Pelodiscus sinensis: one gene and its partner. The protein of the gene in region 2 purifies or fractionates together with the protein of the main gene of each other region. This does not show direct contact. Links are inferred from orthologs where the notes say so. Each region holds a gene or a part of one and is shown on either strand. Other genes may lie near its edges.

Region 1 (6,992 bases), on a different chromosome or scaffold from region 2:
CTCCTGGTCAATGTATTTCTCCTTGATCTTCTTGGTCTTCTTCTTCTTGCCCTTACCACCCTCCTCTTCCTCCTCATCTGAGCCCACGTCCTCTATCTTGGGCTTCTCATCCTTGGGGGCTGTGTCCTCATCCTCTTTCTCCTCCTTCTCTTCCTCATCGTCACTGATTTCCTTTTCCCGCTCTTTCTCCAGCTGTAGGAAGAGGTAGAAAGACGGCCGTGGCAAAGACAACTAGCTTACTCAGGGCCTCCTATTTGCAGAAGATCAGGGCAGTGACAAACACCATAGCCCCAAGGGAGGTAGGTGTCCTACTAAGCTAAACATTGCCGTGATGCACGGCACATAAAGCACTGGTTCACATTTTGCAAATGGTGCCTTTCAGTGGCTGGGACAACCAAGAGGATAAGGAACCATGGCCACCCCCAGCTGGTTGAGACCTCCCATAGCTCATGCACTAGAGGCCCAAACAAGAGGAGACAGAGGGCTGGAATTCCAGCCCCACCCCCTCACCAGGTAGGGGAGGTGCTGGCCCAAAGCACCGGCATGGATTTTAGGGATGTGAGTTTGATAGAACAGTATACCCCTTCTGTGATACCCTCCCCCTAGAGGCAGTGAGCTAGTTTCCACTCGTACCATTCTTCTGGCCAACTCCTTAGCAGCAGGATGAGTGCCCAGCTCTTGCCTTCACCCATCACAGTCTCTTACATACACACACGGGGGGATAGGAAGGCTCAAGGCAGAATGTACCAATCTCTCCCCAGTCTCAGCCTGGGCCTCTCCCATGTTCTATCTGTCCTTCTCATGGGTCCTGCCATCTCACATACGTACGTAAAGGGTGATGGGGTAGCCAATGAACTGTGAGTGCTTCTTCACCACCTCCTTGACCCGCCGTTCCTCCAGGTACTCTGTCTGATCCTCCTTCAAGTACAGGATCACCTTGGTGCCGCGCCCGATGGGCTCACCTGTGGCACCAGGAGAGAGGCTGTGGCATTACCGCTGGACAGAGCTCACTGGAGATCTCATGTCAATGGCAGGTGCAGCCCACCGCTAAACTAAAGGGAGGATCATCACAGTGTTTCTAATGGGAGCCAAGGTCATGAGAAAGTAGGGCAGATGCACTGCTAGTACTGAGCCTGCACCAAGCTTAAACCATGGCTTTGGTTAGCATTGAGAGTAGCCTTCTCCTCTTGCACCTACAGGATAGCCCTGAGACCTAACCCAAGATGACAGGTTACTTTCACCTTCACACACAACCCTGCGACCTTCTCCCCCCGTGATTGTTTCACCACCAGTAGCAGTTAAGGCTACAACACCTCACCCCCCCCCCCATATCATCGACCCTCTCAAAGCCATGGGACCCCATGGAAGATAGAGAGGAGAGGGGCAGCTGGTTCCTTGCAAGCCCCATCTCCACAGTACATACCATGATCAGTTTTAACAGTGAAGGAGCCCCCAGCTGATGACTCCCAGGCATACTGCTCATCATCATTGTGCTTGGAGATGACCACCACCTTTTCAGCCACCAGATAGGCGGAGTAGAAGCCCACACCAAACTGCCCAATCATGGAGATGTCAGCACCAGCCTGCAGAGGGAAGGAGACAGAATGAGAAGATCAGGACACCAGAAATCGGCGATGTCTGTCAGGTGTGTTCCAGTAGCAGGGAACTGGGCCAATGCACAGTAGAGACAGGGATAGGGCAGGGCCCCGCCACCTTCTCTATGTGCAGGAGGGAGCAGGGAAACACGTGGGCAAGCCAAGAGCACTCTATGCTGCTCCCTGGGAGGATGCGGACCCAGAAGGCGACTGTCCCTCCAGCAAACACTGAGTGTTGAAGCTGTAAGGCCCTATGAAGGACACGAGCCCAGGAGGTGCCCAGGCCCACACGCTCTTGTGCCCGGACTCAAGACTACTCACCTGAAGGGCTTCCATGAAGGCTTTAGTACCAGACTTGGCAATGGTGCCCAGGTTGTTGATGAGGTCGGCCTTTGTCATACCGATGCCTGTGTCTACCAGAGTCAGGGTGCGGTCCCGGGGGTTTGGGATGATGTCAATTTTTAGCTCTTTGCCACTGTCTAGCTTTGAGGGATCTGTCAGGCTCTCATAACGGATCTTGTCCAGGGCCTGGAGGAGAAGAGTGAAGGTTTGCAAGGCCCAGTTACTATTCACCTACCTGCTCCTTGGATCTCGTCCTCTGCCTGCTCTGGAGAGGAAGGGGAGCATGACACACACCCCCAACAAAGGGCCTGGGCTCACTCAAACCCCTCCAAGGGGTAAAACACAAGGCCCTGCATGAGAGCAGCACTGTGGATACCCCATCGGAGCAACACACAGGCCAGAGATGGGCTCACCCCACCCCACCCCCAGGAAGAGAGAATCCCTGCAGACCAACGGGTGACGCTGGATGCCGCCTCCATGCCCGCTCCCCCAAGGGCAGCGGGGCAAACCCGCCCTGGGCTGTGGCTCCCCTGCGCCAGGGAGGCTGGCGGGGGAGGGACGCCGAGGGGATTCCCAAGGGCGGGCGCCGCTGGCGAAGGCCGTTAGCGCGCGCGGCCCGGGCTGGCCCAAGGGCAGGCGGGGGGGGGGGGGGGGGGGGGGCTCACGTCGGAGGCGTTGGAGACGAGCTCGCGCAGGAAGATCTCCTTGTTGGAGTAGAAGGTGTTGATGATGAGCGACATGAGCTGCGCGATCTCGGCCTGGAAGGCGAAGGTCTCCACTTCCTCCTCGCCATGCTGCGCGGCTTCCGGCATCTGCAACGCGGACAGCCCGCATCAGCGCGCGCCCGACCGGTCAACGGCACCGGCCGCGCGGCCCGGCCCCGCGAGCCGCCCCCCCGCCGCGCTCAACATGGCAGCGCCCGGCGGCGCCACGTGCCCCCCCCCCCTCCCCAGCCGAGCCCGCCCGCCCCGCCTTTACCGTGATGGGCTGGGGTTCGGGCAGGAGCGAGCTCAGTCCCTGCTACTGGCGCTGCGGTGCGGCCGGGAGAAAGAAGCCGGCACCCCCTCCGCCAGCCTTATATAGGGGCTGAGCCCGGCCCCTGGATCCCTCCGCCTTAAAAGGGCCACGCTGGGTCTTGCGGGGCCCATGATTGCTGTGGATCCTGGTACTTTCTCTTTTCCCACCGCGCTCATACTCCCCAGTTCCCTCAATACCCGGGAAGCTCCTTATACCCCGCTACTCTGTCACCCTACTTTTGAGCTATCTCCTGCTACCATGTCATCCCACTATTGAAAAAAATTAAAAAACAACAAATAGTCCTGCAGCACTTAGAGACTAACAAACCATGCAGAGGAGCTGTGGGCACAGCCCAGTTCTTCAGATGGATGGAGCAAGGGGTCCAGAGGTACAAATAAATAGCAGAAAAAGAGGTGATGGGGAGGGAAAGAGAAGGGGGAAAATTGTCAATTAGAGTGTCCTGCTAAACCAGGCTAACTTCCATGCAAGACACATTTCTCAATCAACTGTTTACAGCCAGGCCCTACGATAAAGCTGGATTTGCTCCAATCTCACAGACAGAGACAAACACCTACAGAGTCTCTATCAGGCATTCTTAAAACTGAAATACCCACCAGGGAAATGAAAAAAACAGATTGACAGAGCCAGACAAGTACTCAGGCATCGGCTTCTTCAAGATAGACCCAACAAAGAAAACAAGACACCATTTAAACCATAGACCCCAACTTAAACCCCTCCAACGCATCATCAACCATCTACAACCTATCCTGGAAAATGACCCCTCACTCTCACAGGCCTTGGGGGATAAGCCAGTCCTCAAATATAGACAACCCCCTAACCTCAAACAAATTCTCTCCTGTAACCACGCAGCACACCTCCATCATACTCATCCAGGAATGCACCCCTGCAATCAACTCCAGCGCCAGCTCTGTCCACACATCTATGCAAGCCAGCAGATCCAGAGATGTGATTATTCCCCTTTATTCAGCTCTGGTGAAGCCATATCTGGAGTATTGTGTCCAGTTCTGGACCCCCCACTACGAAAAGGATGTGGACGCATTGGAGAGGGTCCAGCGGAGGGCAACCAAAATGATTAGGAGGCTGGAGCATATGACCTATAAGGAGAGGCTGAAGGAGTTGGGTCTGTTTAGTCTGCAGAAGTGAAGAGTGAGGGGGGATTTGATAACAGCCTTCAACTTCCTGAAGGGAGGTTCCAAAGAGGATGGAGAGAGGCTGTTCTCATTAGTGACAGGTGGCAGAACAAGAAGCAATGATCTCAAGTTATGGTGGGAGAGATCCAGGTTGGATATTAGGAAAAACTATTTCACTAGGAGAGTGGTGAAGTGCTGGAATGGCTTACCTAGGGAAGTAGTGGAGTCTCCATCCCTAGAGGTGTTTAAGGCTTGACAAAGCCCTGGCTGGGTTGATTTAGTTGGGATTGGTCCTGTCTAGACCAGGGGGGTGGACTTGACCTTCTGAGGTCTCTTCCAGCTCTATGGTTCTATGATTCTATGATAAGCAACATCATCACAGGACCTAACCACATAAGCCACCACATCAGAGGCTCATACAACTGCACATCCACTAATGTGATTTGTGTCAGCAATGCCTGTCTGCCATGTACATTAGCCAAACTGGACAGTCTCTATGACAAAGGATTAATGGACACGAATCAGATACTCAAAATGGAAACATACAGAAACCCGTTGGGGAACATTTTTTCCTGACCAGGCAGTCACTAATAGATCTCAAAGTGACCATCCTGTTACAAAGCAATTTAAAAAACCAGCTGGAAAGAGAAGCTGCAGAAATCACCTTCATCTGCAACTTTGACACCTTTAACCAAGGTCTGAACAAAGACGTTACTTGGATGGGGCACTACATTCAACACCCTAATGACATTACAAGTTAAGTATTGGGCATTTATAGCCCACTCAATTAGCCTCATTTAGCACAGACACTGTAATTGATAATTCCCCCCCTTTCCTTTCCCTCCCCAGCCCCTCTTTTTCTGCTATTTATTTGTAACTCTGGACCAGTGTTCCCTCTAAAGTGCATGACCGCACACAAACAATTCTAACCCAACCCACCTCCTTCACAGAGCAGTACAGCAGCACTCACCTTCCTGCTGAATCTGGAAGGTGAGTGGTGTGGCTGCTCCCAGAACCGGGGCCCCCGTGGCAGGGTAGGCCCTGGGCTGTATCAGAGGGTGGCTGCTGCCAGAGCCAAGGCCACAAGGTGGGTGGGTTGCTGCTCTAGGGGTCAGAACCACGGGTGTGTTGCTGCGCTGGGGGTTAGAGCTCTGTGGGTCGATGGTTTGCTGCCTCCGGGGTTGGGGCCATGGCTGGGTGGATTACTGCTATCAAGGGCTGGGGCCATGGACAGGTGGGTTGCTACGCCATCAGAGCTGCAGGCGGGCGGGTTGCTGCCACCGGGAGTCAGGGCTGTGGCCGTGTGGTGGCCAGGCTGGTTGCTGTTGCTGGGATACTTAGGCCCCAGTTCTGCCAGCACAGATTTCTTTGCTCACACAATCAGATTGATGTCCCTTTGCATGTTGAGACCTTCCTTAACCATAGGTCTGATGAAAATTTGTCACCTTTTTCTTACTCATCTGGAATTAGCCACTGCCAGAGGCAGGATGCCAGACTGGGTGAACCATTAATTTCTACCTCTTAAAAGGAAAATATCTGGGTTTTGCTGTGTTTTGTTTTAAACTAGATGAAAGGAGAAATAACAGAGAAAAAAATAGTGTAAAATGAGAGTGTTTTGGAAATGTCTTTATTTTAAATAAGGAAAGGAAAGAAAAAAAAAAGTCCTGGTAGGTAAACAATCAATAGCAGCATATTTATAACATTGTGGTTTTTTTTTATTTTAGCCATTCAATTTGTTTTTAAGTGAACAGTTCTGGGGAAAAGGCAGAGACTAATATTAAAAACAAATACTGAAGAGTTCTGTGCCTAAGCGAATATTTCTACACAATGAAGCTTTAGAGTTGCCTACTTGGTCCATGGACTCCCACCTTGCACCTGTGAAGTCTTGCGGCAATTGTCCCAAAAGAGTTTGGACGGACCCCATGAAATGATTGTCCCATGTTCTTTCCCTCCCCTGCCCTTGGCAGCTCTCAGGCATTTACCCCATGGAAACTCATGTAGTGAGAGAAATTCCAGAGTGATGCAAGGGATCAAATTGCCCTATCATGTTTTGGGGGGGAGCAGCCACACTCTCCCTGCTTGTGTTGAGGGATAATACTTAGGACTGGTCTCTGTGGGGTTTTTGTATTGCTGTCATCTTATTGGTTTAGAAACCAACAGAGTTTAATCAGAGCAACCTTTCTAACGTGGACAACATTATAAACAGAGTAGAAGCAAGAAAAAAAGCCTTCTTGCCCTTGGCTTATGGTAGGTTTGCAAGCTCACAGTACCCACCTGCTTTCCACCCACCATTATCTTCTTGCTCCCCATTATCCAGCAGGGGCTGGGGAGGATGGGGGACAGTTTTAAAATGGGGGAAGCCCTGGGAAATGCCTATTGTTCTCAACACCCCATTTCCAAGATGCAGCCTTAGGGATGGCCTAGGCATGGGCTTTTTGCACCAGTATAACTAACCAATTGGTAGGTAACCTGGGGAAACCCCTCATGCAGCTACATGTAATGTAAACCACTGTAATTCATGCTCAAACTGGGCCTGCTCCACACTAAAACGTTAGGTTGACCTAGGTTCCATCAAACACCAAAGCAATACATCCAGGAGCAACTGGGAGAAGCCACTTCCTCTCCAGCCCAGCCCAGGAGGCTGGGGCCACAAGAAAAAACCCCTGGTGGACACATTTGCCCTAAGTGGTGCCATGGGGTGGAGGACAGAGCTGCAGGCAATGCATCCAATGAAACTTAATTCCATGACAAACTATAATCAGGTGCCGGAGGGAGATCCCTGCAGTATTGCTGGCAAAGAGGGAGGAAGTCAGAGCTCTGAGACAACCCTTACACCAAGCCACCCTGAGAGGTCCAAACGGGTTCATCAAGGAGCTGGGACCAGAGG
Region 2 (7,646 bases):
TACCAATCCCAACCAAATCATTCCAGACAGGGCTCAAAAACCTCTAAGGGTGTAAATTCCACCACCTCCCTAGGCAATCTATTCCAGTGCTTCACCATCCTCTTAGTGAAATACAGTAAAACTCCATTGATCTGACATCTGGTGGTCCGGCACTCCGGATGGTCCAGCACCATCAGGAACCCGGAAATGCTCCAGGCAGCCGGACCATTGGAGCTGCTCTGTCCCCGGCTTCCCTGATTCAGCTGATGCTGAAACTGACCAGCAGCTGAATCAGGGAAGCCGGGGGCAGAGCAGCTGGAGTGCTGCCAATAGGTCCCATAGCACTGCCCCTCGGTGCTGCGGGACCAACCCGGAAGCACCCCAGCTGTCCCCAATTCAGCCGCTGCTGAAACTGACCAGTGGCTGACGGCTGACTCCGGGAAGCCTGAGGCAGAGCTGCTCCGCCCCAGGCTTCCCGGAGTCAGCTGCTGGTCAGTTTCAACGGGCGGCTGAACTGGGGATGCCTGGGGCAGAGCAGCTGGGGTGCTGCTGAGTTGGTCCAGTAGCGCCGCCCCTTGGGGCTGTGGGACCAACCCGGAAGCACCCCAGCTGCTCTGCCCCAGGCGTCACCAAGAGCAACTGAGGTACTGCCGGGTTGATCTCGCGGCGCCAAGGGGCAGCGCTACCGGACCAACCTGGCAGCACCCCAGCTGCTCTGCAGCAGGCGTCCCGATTCAGCTGCTGCTGAAACTGACCAGCAGCAGCTGATTCGGGCATGCCTGGGGCAGAGCCGGACTACCGAATGGAGGGCTATGAGGGGTCTGGGGTGGCATCCCCCCCACACCACCCTAGACCCCTCATAGCCCCCCCTTCCGATAGTCTGTCATATCTGATAATCCGGCACCCCCTAGGTCCTAAAGGTGTCGGATTATCGGAAGTTTACTGTAATTTCCCCTAACATCCAACCTAGACCTCCCTTCATTGCAACTTGATAGAACAAAGAGCTTCTTCTATGGACTCATCTAATAGCCTGTCTCCATCCTCTTTGGAACCCTCCTCCACTTCAGTAGTTGAAGGCTATCAAATTTCCCCTCATTCTTCTCTTCTGCAGTCTAAATAAACTCAGGTCCCTCCACTTCTCCTCATAAGTCACGTGCCCTAGCCTCCTAATCATTTTTGTTACCCTTCCCTGGACTCTCTACAATTTGTCCACATCTTTTCTGTATCGTGTGTGTGCATGTGAGAGAACAGGATACAGAACTCCAGATGTGGCCTCCCCAGTGCCAAACGGAGGGGAATAATCACTTCTTGATCTGCTAGCAACGATCCTGCTAAGGATGTCGATGTGTACTCAAGTACACTGTTTACCAATATGCCTGGGCTCACTGGTTAGCCCACAGTTACACCCTTTCCCCCCCACCTCCGCTGTCTCTATCAGAGGCAGTGGAGGGGGAGGGATGGGAGATGGGAGTCGGTGTGTGTGCAGAGCTGGCTTTTAAGCTGGCTTACTGCAAGCACCAGCTCTCGAAGAGTCGTCTGCCCCCCTGTACTGCTGCCTCTAATACAGAGGCAGCAGCACGGGGTGGGGAGGGGGCAGGCAGGAGCCAGTACGCGGGGGGAGCCAACTTTTAAGCTGGATCCCTGTGAGCACTGGCTCCCTTCCCCACCTTCACCTCTGCGGGAGGCAGTAGTGGGAGGATCAGACAGATCCTTGGGAGCTGGCATGTGCGTGGAGCTGGCTTAAAAGTGACCTTAATAGGTAGCAGATGGCATAGTCTCACTAAATTTGTCTCTTTCATACCACGGAAACAAAACAAGGGAACAATAATATTACAACCTAAGTCATATGTCCAGAGTATAATTTAATTTAATGGACTGCAGTTGCCAACCCACAGCCTCTACACCTAGTCACACCTTCTCAATTTCCTCAGCCTCATTATAACAGAGGCTAGGATGGTCCTCAGCAGACACCTCAACCCTTGGCACAGGCCAGTCCCAGCCCACCCTCTTCCAAGTTGCAACTCCCACCTCTCATCCCATAGCACTGGCCAGCCCTGGCTCCCCTACCGCCACCCCAGACTAGCTAAGTTTCCCTTTATGTTGTGTAGCCAGATGGCCATGCAGCTGCCTACGAAGCCTTGTGGAGAGGCTCAGGACCACCACACAGAGTGCTGCCTCTGCCTGCTGGCCCCAGCACAATCCTGGAGTAGCTAGGACAAAAGCCCCTATCCTCACCAGTTCTAACACAGAGCTTCTGCAGAAGAGATACCAAGCCAGCTCTATGCCAGAGCCTGCAAGGAGGGGTCGAGCTCCCCTGACCACAGCAGTTCTATTTTGGGGCCTTTAAGGCACACCACTCCCTTGGCAACAGTGTCCATCCCACTCTGTTGGGGAATCAGGTGTCCCTTCCCAGATCCCAACCCAGAGCCTGGAACTCCCCCAGTTAGGGGACAGGTGTCCCTGCCCTCGCTGTGCCAGCTGGAGCTGCAACAGCCCTGGAGAGACACCTCTCGCCTGGACTCAGGCCGCTGCGGTGAGAGGGCTGAAAGTCTCCTCTCTCCCGAGAAGCCTGCGCCCTGAAACTCTCCTGCCCAGCCCCACTCCAGAGCCCACACGCCCAGCCAGTCTTCACCCCACATCCCCACCCTCCGCCCAGCACTCAGGCCCCTCTCACACCCACCCCGAGCCACACGCTGTCCGGCTGCGGATCGACTTCTGCTGCGATACAGCAGCTATGGGATTGGTGGATGTAACGGGAGTCACTCCCCACACGGACACCGCAGCCCGGCTTGGCCCGACCCCCTGCCCCGAGCCGAACCCCCCAACTGGCCAGCCCAGGCCCCTGTCCAGACACCCCCTCACAGGCCTCACCTGCCCCTCGCCCAAGAAATCGAGCTTCTCGTAGCGCTTCGCTCGCATCCTCGCGTCCATCACCAGCCGAGAAGAGGAACCGGACCGAGGGGATTTAAAACCGTCACTGCTTGAGCGCCGCTACTTCCGGCCCCCACGCGGAACCCCGCCCCGTTTCCGAGCTTCCGGCGCATGCGCCGTCCCAGCGGCTGCAATGAGGTGTTCTCGCGGCGCCAGCGTCCCGCTCTAGCAACAGTCACTAAGTAGCCCGCGTTTCTCGGCGGTCTTAGGTTCCGGCCCTCTCGGAGTCCGCCCCGGGTCAGACACCGGCCGCGAGCGGGGCAGGACGGGTCGCGCGGGGTCTTACTGAGCATGGCGGGGTGACCAGGGCACTGGACCATTGCGGCCCGTTGAGCAGCTCCGGGCGGGGAGCTTGCCTGAAGCCAGCCGAGCACGCATACAGCCCGGCCTCACCAGGCTCGCCGCTAGGGACGGGGGCGGTTCCCATAACGAGAGGCAGGGACACCAGCTTTGGGAAAAGGGGCGCTCGAGCCTGAATTCAACTCTCCCCGCCCCCTCGGACACTCACCAACACCTTCCCCTCTACCAGGTTGCCACTGAGACACAGCTGCAGGCCTCCCCTTTAATTTGTAGAGGTGTGAGCTCCTTTAAAAGTGCACTTCAGCGATATGGGCTGGGGGTGATAGGCATGGATCACAGTTGACAAGTCACAACCTCTTGCTCAAGCCTAGGTGGAGCCAAACCATTCCTGAAGAGTACTGCTATAAGATTATTCAACAGCAGAGGAGGTTAGAGGAATAAAATATTCAAAGTGATTTTTTTTGTTTTGCTTTATTGTCAGAATTTAGGAGTATGGTGGTCTAAAAGGCAGAATCCCATCACTTCATTATCTGGTTTTTTTAAAAAGCTCTCATCAAGCTCAGTATAACAGCACTTTATGATTAATATTCCAGCTCTCAAGTGGAATCATTTTCAGGAAAATTTGGACAGAGTATACTCCTTCGAGTTACTTTCATCCATGTTTCACATCCTGGCTACGACCTCCTACCAGTGCTAGTGGAATGTGCACTTGATTTAACAAGCCAGTTTATTAGAACTATACAATTAACTCTTGCAAGAAACTGCTCTTTTTATTGCATGCTCTGCATTTCAGCATGGTATTATCCCTTCTATGCAACCATTCAATTATACTGGAAGTAGCAGCCAACCTCCAGTTAGAACTGGTCATATTGACACATTAAATACACTTAAACATTATTTTAAAGCACTAATCCAGAAAAGCTCAGTGTGTGGATATACTTATTCTGGCCTAAGTGTTGAGAAGGGGAAGCTGTTCAAATTTCCTCAGGTAGACAAGAATTGAATTAAACTCTTTTATTCATCCATGTGTAAGTAATGCACAGTAATCATATGAACAAATTAATCTTTGTTTAATATACTCTTCAGTATGTTTTGGCATCCCCATTTTGTACTTTGGGAAAAGAACGGTTTGTGTTCCAGAGCTCATGACTAGTAATCAGGAGATCTGGTTTCTATATTTTTTGTTCTGACAGAAAAACTGGATTCTATGTTCCTTGTTCTGACAAACTTCCATGACCTTGAGCAAATCATTCATCCTTTGTGTGCTTCAACTCCCCTGTTCAGACAATTATTTCCAGATTTCCCCTTCCCCACCTTCCACGCAGAACCAAATCTTTACCTTGCTTTAAGTTATATGAGGAAGCTGCATACCAAATTTGGTGGTCCTAGCTCTTACCCTTTAGTTCTTGAACAAATGGAGGGACAGACTCACTCTCAAGCTTTCTCAAACATACAATAGATTCAATAGGACTGGTCCCACAAGACAGACCCAAGAAAAACAACAATAGAACACCACTTGTCATCACCTACAACCCCCAACTTAAACCTGTCCAACACATTATCAATAAACTACAGCCTATACTGGAACAGGATACCATACTCCAAGAGACTCTGGGAGACAGACCCATAGTCTCCTATAGACAACCACCTAACCTCAAGATGATTCTTACCAGGACATACCACACTAATACCAACCCTGGTACCTTCCCCTGCAACAAACCCCGTTGCCAGCTTTGTCCACATATTCATTCTGCTGATACCATTATTGGACCTAACCAAGTGAATTATAAGATCAAGAACACATATTCCTGCGCATCCAGAAATATAATCTATGCTATCATGTGCCGAAAGTGTCCGTCTGCTATGTACATTGGACAAACATCTCAGACACTTCGCCAAAGGATTAATGCCCACGAAACAGATAGACAAGATCACAAAGAAAAAACAGTTTCTTGCCATTTTAACCAGAAAGGACACTCTCTCAATGACTTAACCACCTGCATTCTGCTACAAAGACCTTTTACATCTGCACTTGAAAGGGAATCCTCTGAACTGTCATTCATGTTAAAATTCGACACTCTCCAAGAAGGAATGAACAAACACTCAAACTATCTTACCCATTACCAGGATAGCTTCCCCAATTATCACCTCTAATACCATTAGCTCACAGACATCCCATTCTCCCCACCTCTAATATCATCAATTCACAGACACTTACTTACCTTCCTTCCTTCCCCCCTCTCCCCCGCATCCCTCTCCTGTTCTGAAATGTGATTTGTCCTTTTCATATGTGTTCATTTTTTTAATTGTATCCTTTGGTATATATGGTTGTGACTATTTTCTTCCACTATTTGATCTGAGGAAGTGGGTCTGGCCCACGAAAGCTCATCATCTAATAAACCATCTTGTTAGGTCTTTAATGTGCTACATTGTCCTGCATTTTGCTTCAGCTACCCCAGACTAACACGGCTACATTTCTATCACTATTTAAGTAGTAAGACAGAGTTTTTTGTTTTGTTTTGCTAGCTAAACAGAGCTGATATAGTGTTGCCCATCCTTATCTGTAAATATGGCATATTAGAGCCCTGTAAATCGATGGATATCTGTGGGTATTCACAACCATAGATGCCAATATCAGTGGCTCATTTCTACAGATATAGATGTGGATTCAAAGCTCTATGTATCCTGAAGTGGGTCTCGTTTGTCAGCAGCTACACTTCAAGACTTTAGAGTTTACATTTACTTTGACTCATACAGAATCAATCAAGCTGACAACTGAACCTGAAAACCACTCAGATATTATCTTGAAAAGACAGTAGGCAAGTTCTTTCCCCAACATGAGACTGTAACTTTGCAACTCTACCCCTCAGACTGGTTTTGTATCTTCTAAGAAGGGTCTAAAGTCTATTTTAATAGACTGAAAGGTATAAAACAAAAACCTTATTTCTGTGCTAGTAAGCATCAAGGCATAGAAGGGACAGTCTCCACCTTACTGGGATAGTGGCATAGTTTAACCTGTTAAAATTGCTCAAGGTATAAGGAGTACTTAGCAGATGTGGCACTCAATTTTTTAATCTCTCTTTTACTTAAGGTTTATGATTATTTTTTTGAGCAAACATGGAAAGTAGTAAAGGATACCTGTAATTCTCTTCTTGAGGCCAAACCCATCAGCCCCATAATGCATCTGACCTCGAAAGCTCAGGAAAGCTAGAATCAGCTCTGACTGGTAGTTTTCTCTAATAATGTGGAGGCAGGTGAGTTTAAAATCTGTTCCAAACATAATTTAAATTAATAAAGCTAGTCCAAGAATAAGTTGATCCCCTCTATCTTAATGCTGTTCTCTACCCCAGGAAGTGCATACATTTTCAGAGCAAGCAGCCACCATTCTGGATGCCAGAATCAAAGCCCTTTTTTATATATATGTCTGGCAGTTGAAAACTAAAAATATTAAGTTTATAAAGTTCTTATAATAAAAAGTAGCAATGCTCATCTTATAAGCCAGAAATATTTTGCATTAGATCTGGACCTATATGGATCAACAATTGCTACTAAAATAGATATTCTTGACAATTGTATTGCTTAAATTACATTTTAATAGTGAAGGTTTATAAAGTGGATTCACACAATTACCTTAATTAGTCTTTAATAAAAAAAGTTAGTCCAGAAACATAAATTAGAAGACAAGTGTCTAACGTGTCAACTTTCTCACCCCATTAAACCGGGTCTTTATTAAAGCTATTAACAAACTGTTTATAACATTCATAGAGTGAGGAAGGCCTTTAATGTGAACATAATAATTCATTCAATGGTGGTGTATAAGTGTCTTCTGTAATTATTCTGGACCTCCACGCTGTAAAAGAGAAGCAGACAATTATATGCCATCTACTAAAAGAAAGGGAAGATGACATGCTGGTTTGCACTTTGTTATTAAGTAGGAAAGTAGTTTTCAGTACAGGATTATTGCACATTTAAGAATTCTATCTTTAATTTATTACTTTTATGAACAGACACAAAATTTCTACTTAGCTTTTGTAAAAAACATGACAAAATCTGAGAAATGTTTATGTAATTTTGATATAGGTTAGTGTAAAAATAAACACTACAGTATTAGTTTCTTCTTCAGGGTTTTAGTCAATAAAGTAAGTTACTTTTGTCCACATTCAACAGTACAAAGCCCAGACAGTAAAAAGCAAGTTACATGTTTAAACATTCTTTGTTTTAATAATCTAATGTGTCCAGCAGATGCTTCCATTGTTTCCCTGCTACATTTTTACAACTTAATACCTCATTGCTGGGAAACCTTTAGGCTGAATGTCAGGAAGTTTCATACTTTCTTTAATTCCATTACTCCTAGTTATACCCTTCTCCCCCTACATAAAAAATCCTCTCTGTGACTAATGATCATATCCTTTGATTACCTGTGGACTCAATCACCA

Evidence for each region. Proteins that work in one complex are often made in the same cells at the same time.
Region 1: the proteins of CDK7 (region 2) and HSP90AB1 purify together in Homo sapiens (affinity purification with mass spectrometry; 4 studies listed by BioGRID and IntAct, counting the BioPlex papers as one, with this or other methods). This does not show direct contact. The link is inferred for Pelodiscus sinensis from reciprocal best matches to the Homo sapiens genes CDK7 and HSP90AB1.

The regions. Positions count from the first base shown.
Region 1 is NC_134713.1:140,492,628-140,499,619, reverse strand, and holds the start of HSP90AB1 (heat shock protein HSP 90-beta), read right to left. Parts: upstream 3,053-6,992; 5' UTR 2,916-3,052; intron 2,750-2,915; coding exon 2,603-2,749; intron 2,124-2,602; coding exon 1,917-2,123; intron 1,584-1,916; coding exon 1,424-1,583; intron 963-1,423; coding exon 829-962; intron 193-828; coding exon 1-192. UniProt on the Homo sapiens protein: Molecular chaperone that promotes the maturation, structural maintenance and proper regulation of specific target proteins involved for instance in cell cycle control and signal transduction. Undergoes a functional cycle linked to its ATPase activity.
Region 2 is NC_134716.1:88,001,728-88,009,373, forward strand, and holds the start of CDK7 (cyclin-dependent kinase 7), read right to left. Parts: upstream 3,011-7,646; 5' UTR 2,911-3,010; coding exon 2,851-2,910; intron 1-2,850. Other genes in the region: KGD4 (alpha-ketoglutarate dehydrogenase component 4), read right to left, coding at 7,043-7,060. UniProt on the Homo sapiens protein: Serine/threonine kinase involved in cell cycle control and in RNA polymerase II-mediated RNA transcription. Cyclin-dependent kinases (CDKs) are activated by the binding to a cyclin and mediate the progression through the cell cycle.